Linked DNA regions of Yarrowia lipolytica. The protein of the gene in region 2 interacts with the protein of the main gene of each other region in a biochemical or structural test. Links are inferred from orthologs where the notes say so. Each region holds a gene or a part of one and is shown on either strand. Other genes may lie near its edges.

Region 1 (6,513 bases), on a different chromosome or scaffold from region 2:
GACGGCTTGATAGACATGGAGTATTCGCACTTACTGTAGAACAGGTCCACACGGCCTTGAAGTACAAGTACAATATATACCGAGAAAACAGTCACTGAAAGAGGAAGCAGAAGATTGAACTGACACCAGAGTATGTAGGTCACTATTGTGCTGACCGGGTACCACCACTATTATTAATATACATGATGTACTGTACATACAGTACTTGTAAAGGGACGGCCACAACCAGCCCCCTCTTGGAGCCTCTCCTTGGTCAACACAGTATGTCTTCTTAACCTCTGCGATATCCGCTCTCCAGCAGTGCAATAGATCAGTGACCCCTTTCGAACACCGCATTTCGTACTCTCTCATCAGCACTCGTAGCTGTTTAATATTAACACATAAAGACCGTCTGTGCGAGAAACAAGGCATCCCATCTTCCAATCTACCTCCCCCATGTCGTCTCATCATGCCATTATATTACACTCTATAAGTATCATATCCTGCCTGCCCCTACCATTAAAATATCCAAACGTCTTTTCACCAAAATCAACTTCTCCATCCATCCAAGCCGTACTCCAGCTCGAGCTCCAGGTCGCCATCTCCCTGGCGTCCGGACTCCTGGGGCTTTGGTGGCGGGTCCTGGTACTTGAAGTCCTCCTCGGGGATACCCAGAGAGTCCTTTCGCTGAATGACGGGTGGCTGGCCCATGTCCGAGGTCTGTGAGCCGACTCCAAAGCCGGCGTACTCGTAAAAGTGGGGGTTAGCAGACTGGTCCGAGTCCGAGAAGCCCGACAGGGTGGATGGAGAGTCCTGCTGTTGAGGGTGATGTTGCTGCTGCTGGTGTTGCTGTCTCTCAGCTTCCTGCTGGTGTTGCTTCTGACGTTCAGCCTCCTTCTGTTGTCTCTCCACCTCCTGCTTCTCCTCCTCTCTCCGCTGCTCCTCGATCTGCTCGTCTCTGATTCGTGTCTGCTCATCGACAGGCTTTCGAACCATGGCCCGGAAGTCCACAACCTCGTCCAGAATCATCTGCTTCATTGCCTCCATGTCATTGACCTCCTCGAACGAGAAGTCGAACGGAGTGGGACACACAGGCTCATCTCGGGGATCGTGCCAGATCTTCAGGTAGGGGTGCTCAAGAGCCTCCTCAACCGTCACTCGCTCCGCAGGATCGAAGGCAAGCATTTTCTCCAGCAGATCCAGAGCCTCGGGGTTGGCGGTGGGGAATAGCGTGGAAAAGGGAATCTTGGGCATGAAGGGAAGACCCCGAACGTACTCCTGGGCTCTGGGACTGCCGATTCGCTTGAGAGTCTCCTCCGAGGGCGTTCCGAGGTAGTGCAGAATTTGATTGAGCTGGTCGACGTAGTTCTTGCCCTTGAACAGCGGCTTTCCTCCCAGAAGCTCGGCCAGAATGCAGCCCACGGACCAGATGTCAATGGCCTTTGTGTAAGACTGGAAAGAGAGCATGATCTCCGGGGCTCTGTACCACCGGGTGGCGACGTATTCTGTCAGGAAACCGGCATTCTTTTCGTCGTCGGAAGAGAATCCACGCGCAAGTCCGAAATCGCAAATCTTGAGCTCACAGTCGGCGTTAACCAGCAAATTGCCGGGTTTAAGATCCCGATGGAGAACATCGGCGGAATGAATGTACTTGACACCGGCGAGAATCTGGTAAACAAACGACTGGTAATGGGCGTCAGTCAGAGGCTGGCCGGACCGGATGATCTGATGCATATCGCACTCCATGAGCTCTTCGTACAGATACAGCTCGTTGAAATTGTTGGTGTCCACAATGTCCATATCGTACAGACAGGTGATGTTCTTGTGCCCCCGGAAGTGGTTCAGTAGCTTGAGCTCCCGCAACGCCCGCTTACACAGAATGTTTTTCGAGAAAATGTTGGTCACCTTCTTGATAGCAACTCCAGGCCCATCAGGCGTCCCAGTGTACTTGGCTGCACACACAATGCCGTACGCGCCATGGCCCAGCTCTTTGGTCACCTGGAACCGCTTGTCTATGGTGAATTCCTGGTTGAACACCTTGTACGTGTGTCGGTCCGCTCGTATCATGGTGGTGTCGTAACGTGTAGCGAATGAGTGGGTGCGGATGTGTCTAGTCTGTTGAGAGAGAGGTCCAAAAGGTCAAAGTTCGTGTGTGCAAAAAAAGGTCTCGTGCAAAAGTCGCGTGTCAAGGCCGTCAATAATCCCGAAGTAGTCCGTAAAAATGCTCGCGGTCGATTGATCGTTCCTGGAAGTAACACTGGTCTGGTCGACTCGTCTATTTTCAGGTGAGGTGGATGATAAAGTCAGACTTGGATAGAGTGAATTATCACACCAAGCCAAACCAAACTGAATTTCGAACTGTACGTCATTGCGGAGAATAAACTAGAAAGTAGAAAAAGTTGATGCTAGCTAATCGGCCATTTTCTTTTTCTCGCCCCTCTGGAAATCGATACAGCCTATCATCTACAGCTACTCGTCTATGGTGAATCCTGTCGCGTGCCCACACCGTTAGCTACCCACCCCGCCCTCTCTTCGTCGGCCTGCTTGCTCATGTCACCTCCATTTATTATACCTCCCAATAGCACAATTTCGCTCACCCTCCCACCTCCCACTCACCGTTCCTCCTCGCCCCCCTCGGTAATACACATAGACTTCCACTGCAACTTGCTGCGTCGTCATCAACCTTAAATACCTGACTAATAATACGGAAGTAAGTCAGATATTTTTACCACTAGATGTCACCATAGTGGCTCTCCGGCCAAATTGAACAGAATCTTGTTGGGCGTAAACGGCTTGAACATCATGCCCCGACGACTCAGCCGGTTCATGTTGGCCCAGTCTCGTATTCGTGTCATGGCCTTGTGGGGCTCGTCTCCCATGCCAAGGTAATATGCCACTAACCCTGCGGCAAGTGGAGCCGACATGGACGAGCCAGACTGAGCCACTGTGCCCCGATTGTTCTGGTTCGACAGCGAAATCACCTCTACGCCGGGCGCAAAAATGTCCACACACTGGCCCCAGTTGGAGAAGCTGGCAATCGTGTCCGTCCTGTCGTCAAACGCCCCGACGGTCAGAACCCCGTTAGCACTAGCAGGCGAGTCCAGACACGCAGGGGTGTTGGTGTTGCCTGCAGCCACCACCACAGGAATGCCAGAGTCGATCGCAGCCTCGACCGCAGCGTTGAACACCGAGTTCTTAGGTGCTCCCAAACTCATGTTGATAACCGCGGGACGGCCGTTCCGATGGATCTCAGCCGCGGCCCACTCCAAACCGGCGAGTACAGATGAGAGGGCTCCCATACCGTCCTCTCCAGTGACCTTGACATCAATGATGTTGGCCTTTTTCGCTATACCGTAGGTCTTAGACGCAGCTAGGCCGGCAACATGGGTGCCATGGCCGTTTTGATCACCCATGCCCTCGCCGGTGAAGTCTCGACCTGGTTTGCCTCGGTTCTCAAATTCAATGTGCTGATGACGCACTCCAGTATCTAGAATGTAGATGTCGACGCCGCTTCCGTCGGAAGGGTCGTGGACAAAGTCCTGGGGACCGAAGGCGCTGATGGGCTCGAGGTTGGATGTTCGGGCAAGGTGGCGAGGAGCGTTGGCCTGAACGTCGTAAATCTTGACATCGATGTCGAAGGTCCAATCTTTGATCTGTGTTAGTGACTGACAGGTTATTGATAGAGGGGACAACTTGGTTATACTCGTACGTAGCAGTGATAGTTTGTATGTTACAAACTGCTGCATCAGCCTTAGAGTATACACGTTGATAGACATCTCGATATCACATCTGCTCAATCTCTAGTAATCTCAAGTATCACATCACATAGTCTGTGTTACACAACACCACATCCGAAGGGGTATCAAAAGGTATCACTCACCATCAAGTTCTTGGCAAGGGCGTAGACCAGAGAACTGGGGATGTCCCCGGCAAGAGCCTGGAAGTTGCCGAAACTGTGGTACTTGTCGAAATGAGCCAGAAAGTGCGGATTCAGGGTGAAGAAGTCGGAGAGATGCGTCTCGTTTTTGAGCTGCAAGATCATGTTGCGGGCCTGTGCTAGCTGAAGTAGCAGCAGTACTGGAAGAAGAAATAACATGCGCGTCATAAGTTGGGTGTACTTGTACAAACAGCTCAAACCAAAGAAGGGACTGTCACTTATATATACAGTAAAGATAAGGTGGATTTTTAGACTTCCATACGAGTCACCTGTCTGTTAAGGTGGGGCACTGTATGACATACACTATAGTACAAGTACAGTATAATTACAATACTGTAACTACTGTAGTGACGACATGGACACTATTGATGCATTTCATCTTCCTATTTAGCCCAAGGAGCTTTCGTGGGGGCCATGCCTGGTGCATCTCCTCCAGGAACACTTGAGCCCGGAGCTCTGGTGGGAGGCAATGCAGTTGCACCAGGAGCTCCAGTAGTGCCAGAAGCACCCCCACTAGCCCTGTCCTCTCTCTCCTCCTTCTCTCTCGCTGCACGCTGACCGTCTCGACGAGCTAGACGCTCCACAGTCTCCATTGGCATACCTCTTGGGCCCATAAGTGGCAAACGAGCATGAGGAGTAGTCTGCGGTTCCTTCTTGGACTTGAATCCAAGGGGAAGCTTGGGCTTGACGGGCTCTTCGTCCTCCACCTTGGAGTAGGGCAGGTCGTTACCTTCAGTATCCTTCCAGGGATATAGCTCTGAACCAAAGTAAAAGTGCTGGACAACAGGGAACTTTCCCAGAACTTCTGCAATGTACATTTTGATCATTCCTGAGTGGATCTTAGCCCAGGTGGCAATTCCAGAAATATCGTAGAGGATGGGGGAGTGCTCATAGAAGGGGCCAGACTTGATATCGTAAATGAAGGCAATAGCTGCAAAGTACAGGTTGGTAGTCTTTTGCTGCTGGACGATTCGAGGATTCATGACACTCGAAGGGGGACACTCTTTATCGTACTTTGTGGGAACCAGAAGGGTAGATGCAGTTACTGATCGTGACACCTTCTGAGCCGATCCAAGAATGTAAGGGAGATGGGAGTGGTCATCCAAACCCCAAACTCCGTGAGATCCAGCAGGTTCCAGAGAGTATGTCATGATAAGTTTTCTGACAAGCACAAAGTATGTCTCAAAGATGAAGAGCACGTCTGGAGCAGGCAGATCTGTTTCCAGGAGACCCAGTTTCTGAAGGCCCCCCACAAATGCCATGAATGAGAGCTCATGGCCTGTTCCAAAATCCAGACGCTGTTTCGAGCCCATTCCCCCGTGGAGGTAGTATTGTAGCTCGATAATCGAGTCCTTGTTGATGCTAGGGAACGCCTCTGTCAGTAGAGCTGTAGTTTGGGCCTCCATCTTGTCATGCCAGTCTCTAACAGCGACGTTTCCAAATCGCCGAGGGCCCTCCAGCGGTGGCGTTTCGTCAATAAGAGCACTGAGTTTGCGACACAAAGTGACGAGAGCCTTGGAACTGGCCGCTAGCTCGTCTTCATTGGGGGGCAGAAGATGCTCTTGAACTGTAGACGAGTACTTGTCCAGTAACGAGATGATGGTGGCGTAAGGCTGAGATCGCTTGAAGGAGTCGACATCGGCGGCCGAAGAAATGCGTTTCTGAGGTTCACTGAAAGTCATTCTTGTTGAACACGAAGCTGTATGAAGAGATGAGTTGTATGTCCAAGTGTGATGATAAGCCTGTATGGTTATGCACAGTGAAACTTTGGCAGTGTCGGTGCGGAAGATGGTGGGATGATAGTGGTAGGTGGATGGAAAGTGAGCAGACCGAAATAGACTGCCTGAGAGTAGACAATTGCAATAATGTAGCTCGTTTCCCTGATTTTTTCTTCAATTGATGAAGAAGGGGGCCTCCAATGACCAGTTGGGGGCCTGCTGAATCTAGGTTCGGTCTACCTCCACAACTTTTGGTCTCTCGAATGTGAATTTATCAAACAAATATGTAGTCAATTTTGTTTCTGGTACAATCAAATGGATGTGAGAATAACTTGCTGAAAAATTGTCACTATTGGCCCACATCAACCGAGAGAGGGCTTCTCCTCCATTGCCTAACTAATGTGAACTACAACTTCAATAATACAGTTAACAGCTACTTAAGTAAAACACAGCAAGCTTCTTTTGGGAGGATTTCTGTATGAATCGAAGCACATTTTTTTACACATTCCCATTCAATGTCTCATCAAGAAGTCACCAAAGCTATCAAATGTTACATTATCCACTCCTCTCCGTCTTTTATCACCGTAATCACAATCTGTTCAGAATTGGTTAAGCTTTGTGCATGCATGTCATTCCAAACTTTTATCAACATCCAAAACATCTTCAGTGGCATCACCAAAAAAAACATCAACAATGCTTACGTGGTCTCTGGAGCTGTTTGATCGGCTGCGGGACACGATGCAGACACTGTCCAAGGAGCTCCACGACGACGATGTGGACGCCAACAACCTTCGGAAGATGCTGAACGAGGTCTCGTACCTGAAGGATGACTTTAAGATGTCTCTGGACAATCCGAAACAGAGTGCTTCTGATCGGGAG
Region 2 (8,084 bases):
ATGATGAGATGGACATGGATGAGGATGGACCTGGAGGAGCCCAGGGTGTCCAGTGTGCTTCTCAGTAAGAGATTAAGTACGGTTATATAGAAACTCTATTTATGTTGCAACCTTGGAGGTGACAAGATAGTAGGTAGATAGAGGTTAGAATGGATTGATGATATGAGAAGAGAGCCTGAGGATCTAGTCCGCTGAGGATCTAGTCCGAATGAGAACAGTAGTGTAGAAGGAGATGTGAGTATAATTGTTTGTAGTTCGGCTGTCTCCACGGATATATGAGTACAGGATGTACAGCACAGTACATATGTTGGTGACAATGTAGGTGTGTGTACATGTTCGCGCAAAGCTATGAGGATCCCACTGATATCTCCGAACACATGCCATATTGAAGTTAAGAGGTACATTCGATCGTATTTATTTGCTTTTTGATCTGGTTCCTGAACTACTGTAACATGACTGTCTAGGCTCGAGAGCACTTCTTGTACATGTAGTGTTCGAAGCAGAGAAGGGTGGTGCTATTGATTCCAGGGTAGTTTTTGGTTGTTTGTGCCACTATGTGATAGCTGTTTTGGTATACTTGTACAGTAGCTACTTGGTTTAGATGAGTAAGCGTACGTAGTTATTGAACAGTATAGTGTTCTTAGTAGCTAACACCCATATATAGATATATTGACCCAATTGGATCATGATAAATGAGTTGTCTGTACAGTACTTGTACAAACCGGTATTATGAATAATGGCGGACCTTGTCGTATCTTTTTCTATTTGGATTGATAGGAGCAACATTCAAGCGTCTTGTTCTTGGGCGTTGGCTGTGTTTGGACACATACCAACATCCCCCTTTTTTCCGCCATTATTTGTCTATGTTAATAAATCACTAGAGAAAAAAGACGATGGGGAATCCAACGGTAGTATTTAATCACAGGAGGGCTAGTGAATGAGACTAGTTGATGGGTTCTTAGAGGGGGTTTAAGGTGGTGAATCAGTCGTAACGTTCCTGCGTTACAATAAATGGTACAGTAGCGTGTCTGATGGTGAGTCTAGAGTTCCGAGTACATGACCGAATGAAACGGGAGTTGCGGCTAACAGATATTCACAGAATCCTTGAATGATTAATTGACTTATTTTCCTCATGTCATGTTTTCCTCATGTCAAGTTTTCCTCATGTGGGTATGTTTTCCTCATGTTATATCCTCTGGATGTCCAGTAGGGGCTTTGCTGTTTGACTGAATGGATGGATACTGGGGCAGTAGTCCTGTTACAACTACAGTACTGGTTGCAAATACTCATCTACTGTTGACATGAGTAGTACATACTGTGACACCCAGTACAGACTACAAGTACTTATAGCATGTTATTTCGGGCTCCCCTAAGATGTCGGTTCTTGTCGTTCAGCAACTGAGACACCAACGGTAGATAATCGAATGACCCCGCTGATTACTACTTGTAGTGGGAATGGGCAAGCTGGTGACGCTCCTTTTTACCGCTCTCAAAGGCTCAACACACTCTCGTACTCGTATCTACACATACCAGTACATTGTTCGATTGACATCCAAAGATGAAACATTGACCCCACCATACAAGATTGTCCATTTCTCACAAGTTTTCGGCTCCATCTCTCACACCCACAGTTTACATCTGTGGCTTCTCTTCAAACAAGCTACCTGTACTTGTAGATGATTAGGTTGGCTTGGCTCTCCATTTGAATCCGTCGCTAGCTCGAAAGCAACTCGTATTCGCTTCTCTTTCCGTTCGCTTAGCTTTGCTTCCCCCAGCCTCTCGCGAAGTCGACAAGACGCCGCCTATAGCTACATTTGTAGGTATGTCCTTGAGCTGACACTGTGTGACTACGGGATCAGCTGATGGGTAAGAGTTATGGACACTATCCGCGCTCTACAGTAGTGGCGCTAGGAACTTCAACTAAGGCGGCTCTCCGCGCTACTGCTCTTTGTGATGCTTTAAAACGCCCGTTAGTGTGGCTAGACGTGATTTGTGGGCGTAAGGGTGAGCCCACTGGTGGATAAATGTAGCGTGGACTCCAGATACATACCAGTCTTGATTTTCTTCGCCATTCTCTCCGCCACTCGTGTCTCATTGAATGCAGGTCGTCCACGGAAATGCACCCATGTCGTATCCAAGGTCTCAGAGGACGTGACCATACTCATTCGATGCTGTTCCACATGTCTTTGGTAGCAAGCAAGTGCCGTGTCTCACAAGCGTGCACTTGTACACTTGCTCGACGCACTGATACGACCACAGAGGCTACTAATCGAGCTACAAGTAGAGACAAGTATCGTACATGTCTGGGTGGAGTTGAAGTACAATTCAGCTGTACTCGTACTGTAGGAAGGAACCAAAGGCAGCCAACTATCGACACAGCCCCAGAACATTGGCTTCTGTACGTTCATATCTTGTGCCTTGCTCTGTACCTGCACCAGCACCAGGAACGGATCGAATATGGTAATGCAGCCATACATGATGGACGGTTCGATAGAGAGATTCACTTTGGGGTCGCTCTCTTTTGCCTTTGGTGGGCTCGACAAAGAGGTGGCTGCAAGATGAGATATGGACAGATGAGATGTCCTTGTGAGACTGTAGATCGTGGTGCAGTAGGTGGGAGGGGGGTTCACTTTTGAGTATGTTTGAGAGGAGGTAGTCTGTTTGAAAGCCGTTTGGTCAATCAATTGAGCGATTCTGGGTCGATTTCAGCTTTCCTCTTGTCTCTGCGACCTTTACTTGTCCGTTATACCTGTCTCCTCTCGTCTCGCGTCCATTTCCCATTTAGACCGTGTTCATCGCGACCCAGACCCAGACTACCCTTAACGCATGGTGCCGATCACGCACACCCTTTTCCACACATGGTTTCAGTTTGGAATGATGGTCGACGTGTCCATATCGAGCTTCCTGAGCTCTTCTTCCAGCCTCCTCATGTCAGGGGTACGTGTCATGTGACCGCGTCGGATCCGTTTATAACAATTTTCTGTATGTACTGTAGATGCTAGATGCTCGGTAGACACTTGTGGTTGTCACACTTCCTGTAGAGTCCCATTGGCCCTCCACAAAGGCAGGCAGCCAAATTATGCTGGGGATATTATTTGAAAATGAAGACAAAACAATGCCAATATTACGAGCTAGCGTTTTCTAGTGAAACGTCTTGTGAGAAGACTCTGACAACTGACACACAACTGCTGGAGCCCCCGGAATCTACTCGGATACGTCTACCTTTGGTCGCAGTACAGTTTTATGATTGTAGGGTTATTTTGGCTTGATTTACTCCTTGATTGAGAGACTGGGGAACAGAGCCCCTACGGGCAATACCAAGGAAAAACGGTGCTCGCGCCGGAGTGTGGTACATTCCGAGGCCTTTGCAAGTGGATACCCTGGACAATGTCTGCACGTTGAGCTGGTTCTCGCTGCTGCTCCCACGTTCATACGTCATCCCATACCTCCGTTGAGAGTGGTCCTGAAACCAACAACGAAAAGCGTGCAGGCCTGCCAAATCTAAAACCGCAGGTTTCACTTGGGTGCACTGGTGTCGGTTAGTTTTAGTGCGTGAAAAGATGCATTTAATTTTTGCACGTCTCACGTTGAAACACGGGTGCAAAACAAGGGTGCTTCAGATGCGACTATCAGGAATGAATGTGAGTCGGCGGATGGCTGGAGGGCACGTGTGGCCGAAATCTGGGGGACTTGCAGCTGGTTTCGGACCGTCCTAGCTGGGTATGTACACGTTGTACTGTACGAATGTATGCCGACTCTGTTGATACTCCCCCTCCCGACGCTCCCACACAGTCTTGTGTTGTGCACCCTCCACAGTAACAAGACTATAATCAAGTACTGTAAATCAAGGATGTCAAAAAAAGGACAAAAAGGTCAAAAAGAGACAGTGACAAAGGCAAGGGGTAAAGAGTAAAGGGCGAAGGCAAGGTACGAGTGGAGGACTCTGCTGCCATGACGCCAAAGTGAAAACCGGAAAAATCAATGTTGGGCCCCAAAAAAAAATTACAAATGCCCTGCCCAATCTCGCGGCGCCGTCCTCACGCTCCAAGCTGGCGTTTGGCCATCCCACAATGGATATTTATAGCACCACAGCGCTCACATGGGAGCACAATAAACTCACATGAGCTACCTCCCACATGTGGGTGCGTACACAAAAATAGATCAGAGTGCCAGCCTCAGACGAAGGTTAAAAAACAAGGTGCACACTAACTTTGCCAAAAAGCCAGAATAGACTCCCTTGTACATACATGTATATTGAATATACATTGGCCTCACCACCACCGCACAACACAACACACACACACACCAAAGTGCGACGTACTCACGCCCGAGAACCAACTCATCTGGATACTCGCAACCCCCACGCGCACCCGGCACTCTCCCGCAGCTCTCACGACTCGAGTCCCGTAACGACAGGCCCAGAACCAACCCCAACTCTCCTCACCTCTCCCAGATACCCATGAACTGCTCGGTGGCCGACATGGCGGGTTCGCACGTGCCCTCCAACCACCACCACCCACAAGCACAACAGATACACGATCCCGACGCCATGGACTCGTTGCCGGCGCCGCCGCGCCACCTGCCGTTCCGACCGCCCAAGGGCAAAAACTCCAACACCAAAAACCTGTCGTTGATGGTACCTCAAGGTAGCAACCAGAGCCACAACAGCCACAGCAATAACAATGTCTCGCCGCCTCACACATCTATAGAGCCTTCGATAGCGGCGCCGCTGCCGTTTGTGCTGCCTGTCAGCTCGACGCCCGTGCGAGCGTCCGCCCCCTCGGTTGCTGCTGCTTCTCCTCTGGCAGCCTCCTTCTCGCTGGGACTGTCTCGCAAGGGTTCCGTCAAACGATCCCACGTCGACGCCGAGCCCGAGGACGCAGCCTACGACAGTGACTACCGCAGCGAACACAAAAACTACCACTCCAGAACCTCCCCAAAGAGACAGTCCCCCAGTCCGCAGGTACAACCAGCCGCTTCTGCCACTGTGTCTAGTGTGCCTCCCTTCAGTATGGAACCACCACCGTTTACGATGCAGAGACGAACATCGCAACTGAGTATCAGTATCCCGCTGGCCACGTGCTCCGGCTCAAACACTCTGCCTGCCCCCTTGGGCACCCCGACGTCCCAGTCGCACCATTCCGCCAACTCCGCGGCCTCTCAGCTGTCGCTGTCGGACTCGGAATCGGACCCCAACTCCGATAACACTACACACACTACACCGCCACCAAACTACGACGATGCGCTTCCACCCAGCAAACATCACCTGTTCGCAGAGGAGCTCATGACTCCCTCCGTGCACCATGAGAACGCATACCCAGATGGACCCTTGCTCATCTACCCCAGCAACGTTTACCTGTACTCGGAGCCTTCTGTGGAGCTCGCCCGTACGTTCGACGTGGTCATCAACGTGGCCAAGGAGATTGACAACCCGTTCTCCGAGGAGCAGTATGCTAATGATGGACAGACCAACCCCGAGTACGTCTACGTGCCCTGGGGACACAACTCCAAGTTCCTGCCTGACCTGCCGTATCTCACGCAGCTGATTGATGACAGAAGTGCTGCTGGCAAGCGTGTGCTGGTTCACTGTCAGTGTGGAGTCTCAAGAAGTGCGTCGCTGCTGATCGCTTACATTATGAAGAAGCAGCAGCTTGATCTGAATGCAGCCTATGACTGGGTCAAGTACCGGTCGCCGGAAATCGGACCGAACATGACGTTGATTTTTCAGTTGATGGACTGGCACAAGCATTTGCTGGGCGAAAAGGATGCGTTGGAGAGCGACGAAGATTAGGTGCCAGAGGCTTTTGTCAGTCTAGGCCGGCTACACGCTCAGTTTTATGCGAGCCAGAAGTCCTGCCTTGAATTAGGGCTCTACAGGGGACTTCACCATCGCGACACCCGGTCTACTGAGTCCTGGACCAAAAGCACTCGAGTCTGAGCATTGATGCAGACTATAGGGCTCAGAGGAGGATCATCTGAAATGAGGCCTCCATCTCAAGGCTCATATCTGGAGCTTGTGATCCACAAGATATTTCTCACCAGCTTCAAGGACACTAATCACTTTCCCTCTATGCAACACAGTGCGTTTGTTTGGGGCCTGGGCTCTCACGCGCAGGCTACTGAACCCGTACTTCTACTTTTTGTCACTGGATGACTTCGATGGACACTCAACCCACCATATATTTATTCTATTGCATCTTACTTGCAGATTTCATTTCAATACATCTTGATTTCTATCCGGGGTTGTAATAGAGTGAGGGCTAGCCGTGGCCATCTTGGGCTCCTTTCGGGACTCTCGGGACTTATTTAGGGGTCGTCATGACTTACTTAGGGGCCTCGAGGGTCTCTAGATCATTTGCTTATTTATTCTAATTTATTCTAACTAATTATAATAACTGATTAAGACCACCCTATTATGTACTGTACCGGTACTGTAATCACGAAACGTCTTTCAGACCGTTATATGTGACATTACATACTAGTGCTGATACTGTCACATCTGATACACACACTCTACTATGTTATACACGCTGGTCTGCTATTTATTTTGTACAATTAATTTTTTGTCCCTCTGCATGTCAATATTATGTCGAGTATATCCCATATTGCTGTAATGTAATTACAGTGACTGTCAACAAGTGTCAGTCTGAAGAATAGTATCAGTTATGGAATCGTTCACAAGTATAGTACAAGCTCCGTGCAAGTACTTGTACCGTGTAATCCAGGAACACCACGCCTGCTGCCAGACTCTGACATTTGTCCGGATGTTTCAACTGCACCCTTCACCTTGTGCATGGGACATCTTCTCATGACAGAAAGGGAACAGAGTTCGGTTGGTGCACAATTATTACGTCACTGAGACGGGTGGGCAAGACACGGTTGCCACCATGTATAACAGCTGTCTCTGGCCATCTCCATCTGACATGCCTCATGTATCTGGGATGGGCTCTGGCACCTCGGCGGAAGAAGCAAAAGCAAACCGATGTGACAGGCAAAGCCAGTGCTGTACAGTACATACTTGTAGGCGGCGGGACATATGTCATCAGCCATCACAGATGACCGGATACAAGTATGACTGTACCTTGACAACAGGTCTGGGCACTTGTACGAGTATGCATGCACCAAGTGCTCTATTAATAGTGTAGACTCTGTCTCCTCTCATACACACACAAATCCGGCCATCTGCACAACCCGTTGCATGCGTTTTTCCGAGTGGAGATGATAGAAGCGTGAGTAGCAAAGCCGTGGAGACCAACGGTGGCGTATATAGATTTTTGATTTTTGATTTTTTGAATTTTCACTTTTTCATCCGAAATATGACTCTCTAATGTCATCGGTCCCAAAAATCACGTGAACCTGAATATGAAAATCTGTAGCCGATTGGTAGATGATCATCATATGGTATGTAGTTCTGCCAGTAGATCTACAAGTACTTGTACGATACTCGCAACGCCCCATGACTCTTCGGAAACCGTGACCCGGGTCACCTCACCACTGTCTCTGTTTCAAAACAAAACGGCTGAAACAGAAACATGTAGCCGAGACGCTCCAAACACAGATAATTGATCCTTACTGTAGACTGCAATACGAGCTGGGTGCGTGCGCAACGGTGTGGGAACTCGACAAGATGAGGGGACAACTTAGTGCTGCACCTCTCTTGATGTGCGTTCGGCACGAGTTCATGTACTGTACGATGGGTACGAGAAGCGAGGAGTCTACAATGTCGGTTAATTGACTCTCTCAAGAGAGTACTGTACGATTCAAGTGCACTAGAGTAATCGTACCCTTGGGCATGTTAACAATAGGCACCCGTCCTGAACAGGTTCTGTACAGGTACGAGTTGGTACAAAGAGTAGCGTCTAGCGTCTAGCCCTGTTGTTCGGTATACACGGGTAACTTACATTCCTGAAGAACTATCTATAAGTAGCCTCCTACATACTCGCATCACCCACTTCAACCAGAGCCGTATTAAAACCGTTTACTTTCTCTTCTCAAAGTAAAGGCTACAGGGCTCTTGCAAGCGGCCTCTCACTACCGCGCGTCCGTTTATACTCATTAACTATTCATCTAATTCATGTCCACAG

The links.
Region 1: of the proteins of YALI1_F01346g (region 2) and YALI1_B04248g, one has a biochemical effect on the other in vitro, tested with the Saccharomyces cerevisiae proteins (6 studies listed by BioGRID, with this or other methods). The link is inferred for Yarrowia lipolytica from reciprocal best matches to the Saccharomyces cerevisiae genes MSG5 and SLT2.

What each region holds. Positions count from the first base shown.
Region 1 is NC_090771.1:420,371-426,883, reverse strand, and holds YALI1_B04248g (uncharacterized protein), read right to left. Parts: upstream 2,047-6,513; coding exon 529-2,046; downstream 1-528. Other genes in the region: YALI1_B04228g (uncharacterized protein), read right to left, coding at 2,718-3,632, 3,860-4,084; YALI1_B04212g (uncharacterized protein), read right to left, coding at 4,300-5,598; YALI1_B04200g (uncharacterized protein), read left to right, coding at 6,328-6,513. UniProt on the Saccharomyces cerevisiae protein: Serine/threonine protein kinase involved in a signal transduction pathway that plays a role in yeast cell morphogenesis and cell growth.
Region 2 is NC_090775.1:131,030-139,113, reverse strand, and holds YALI1_F01346g (uncharacterized protein), read left to right. Parts: upstream 1-4,459; coding exon 4,460-5,791; downstream 5,792-8,084. Other genes in the region: YALI1_F01405g (uncharacterized protein), read left to right, coding at 1-68; YALI1_F01369g (uncharacterized protein), read left to right, coding at 2,118-2,636; YALI1_F01324g (uncharacterized protein), read left to right, coding at 6,519-6,610, 6,658-6,859. UniProt on the Saccharomyces cerevisiae protein: Dual specificity phosphatase that dephosphorylates MAP kinase FUS3 on both a Tyr and a Ser or Thr. Has a role in adaptation to pheromone.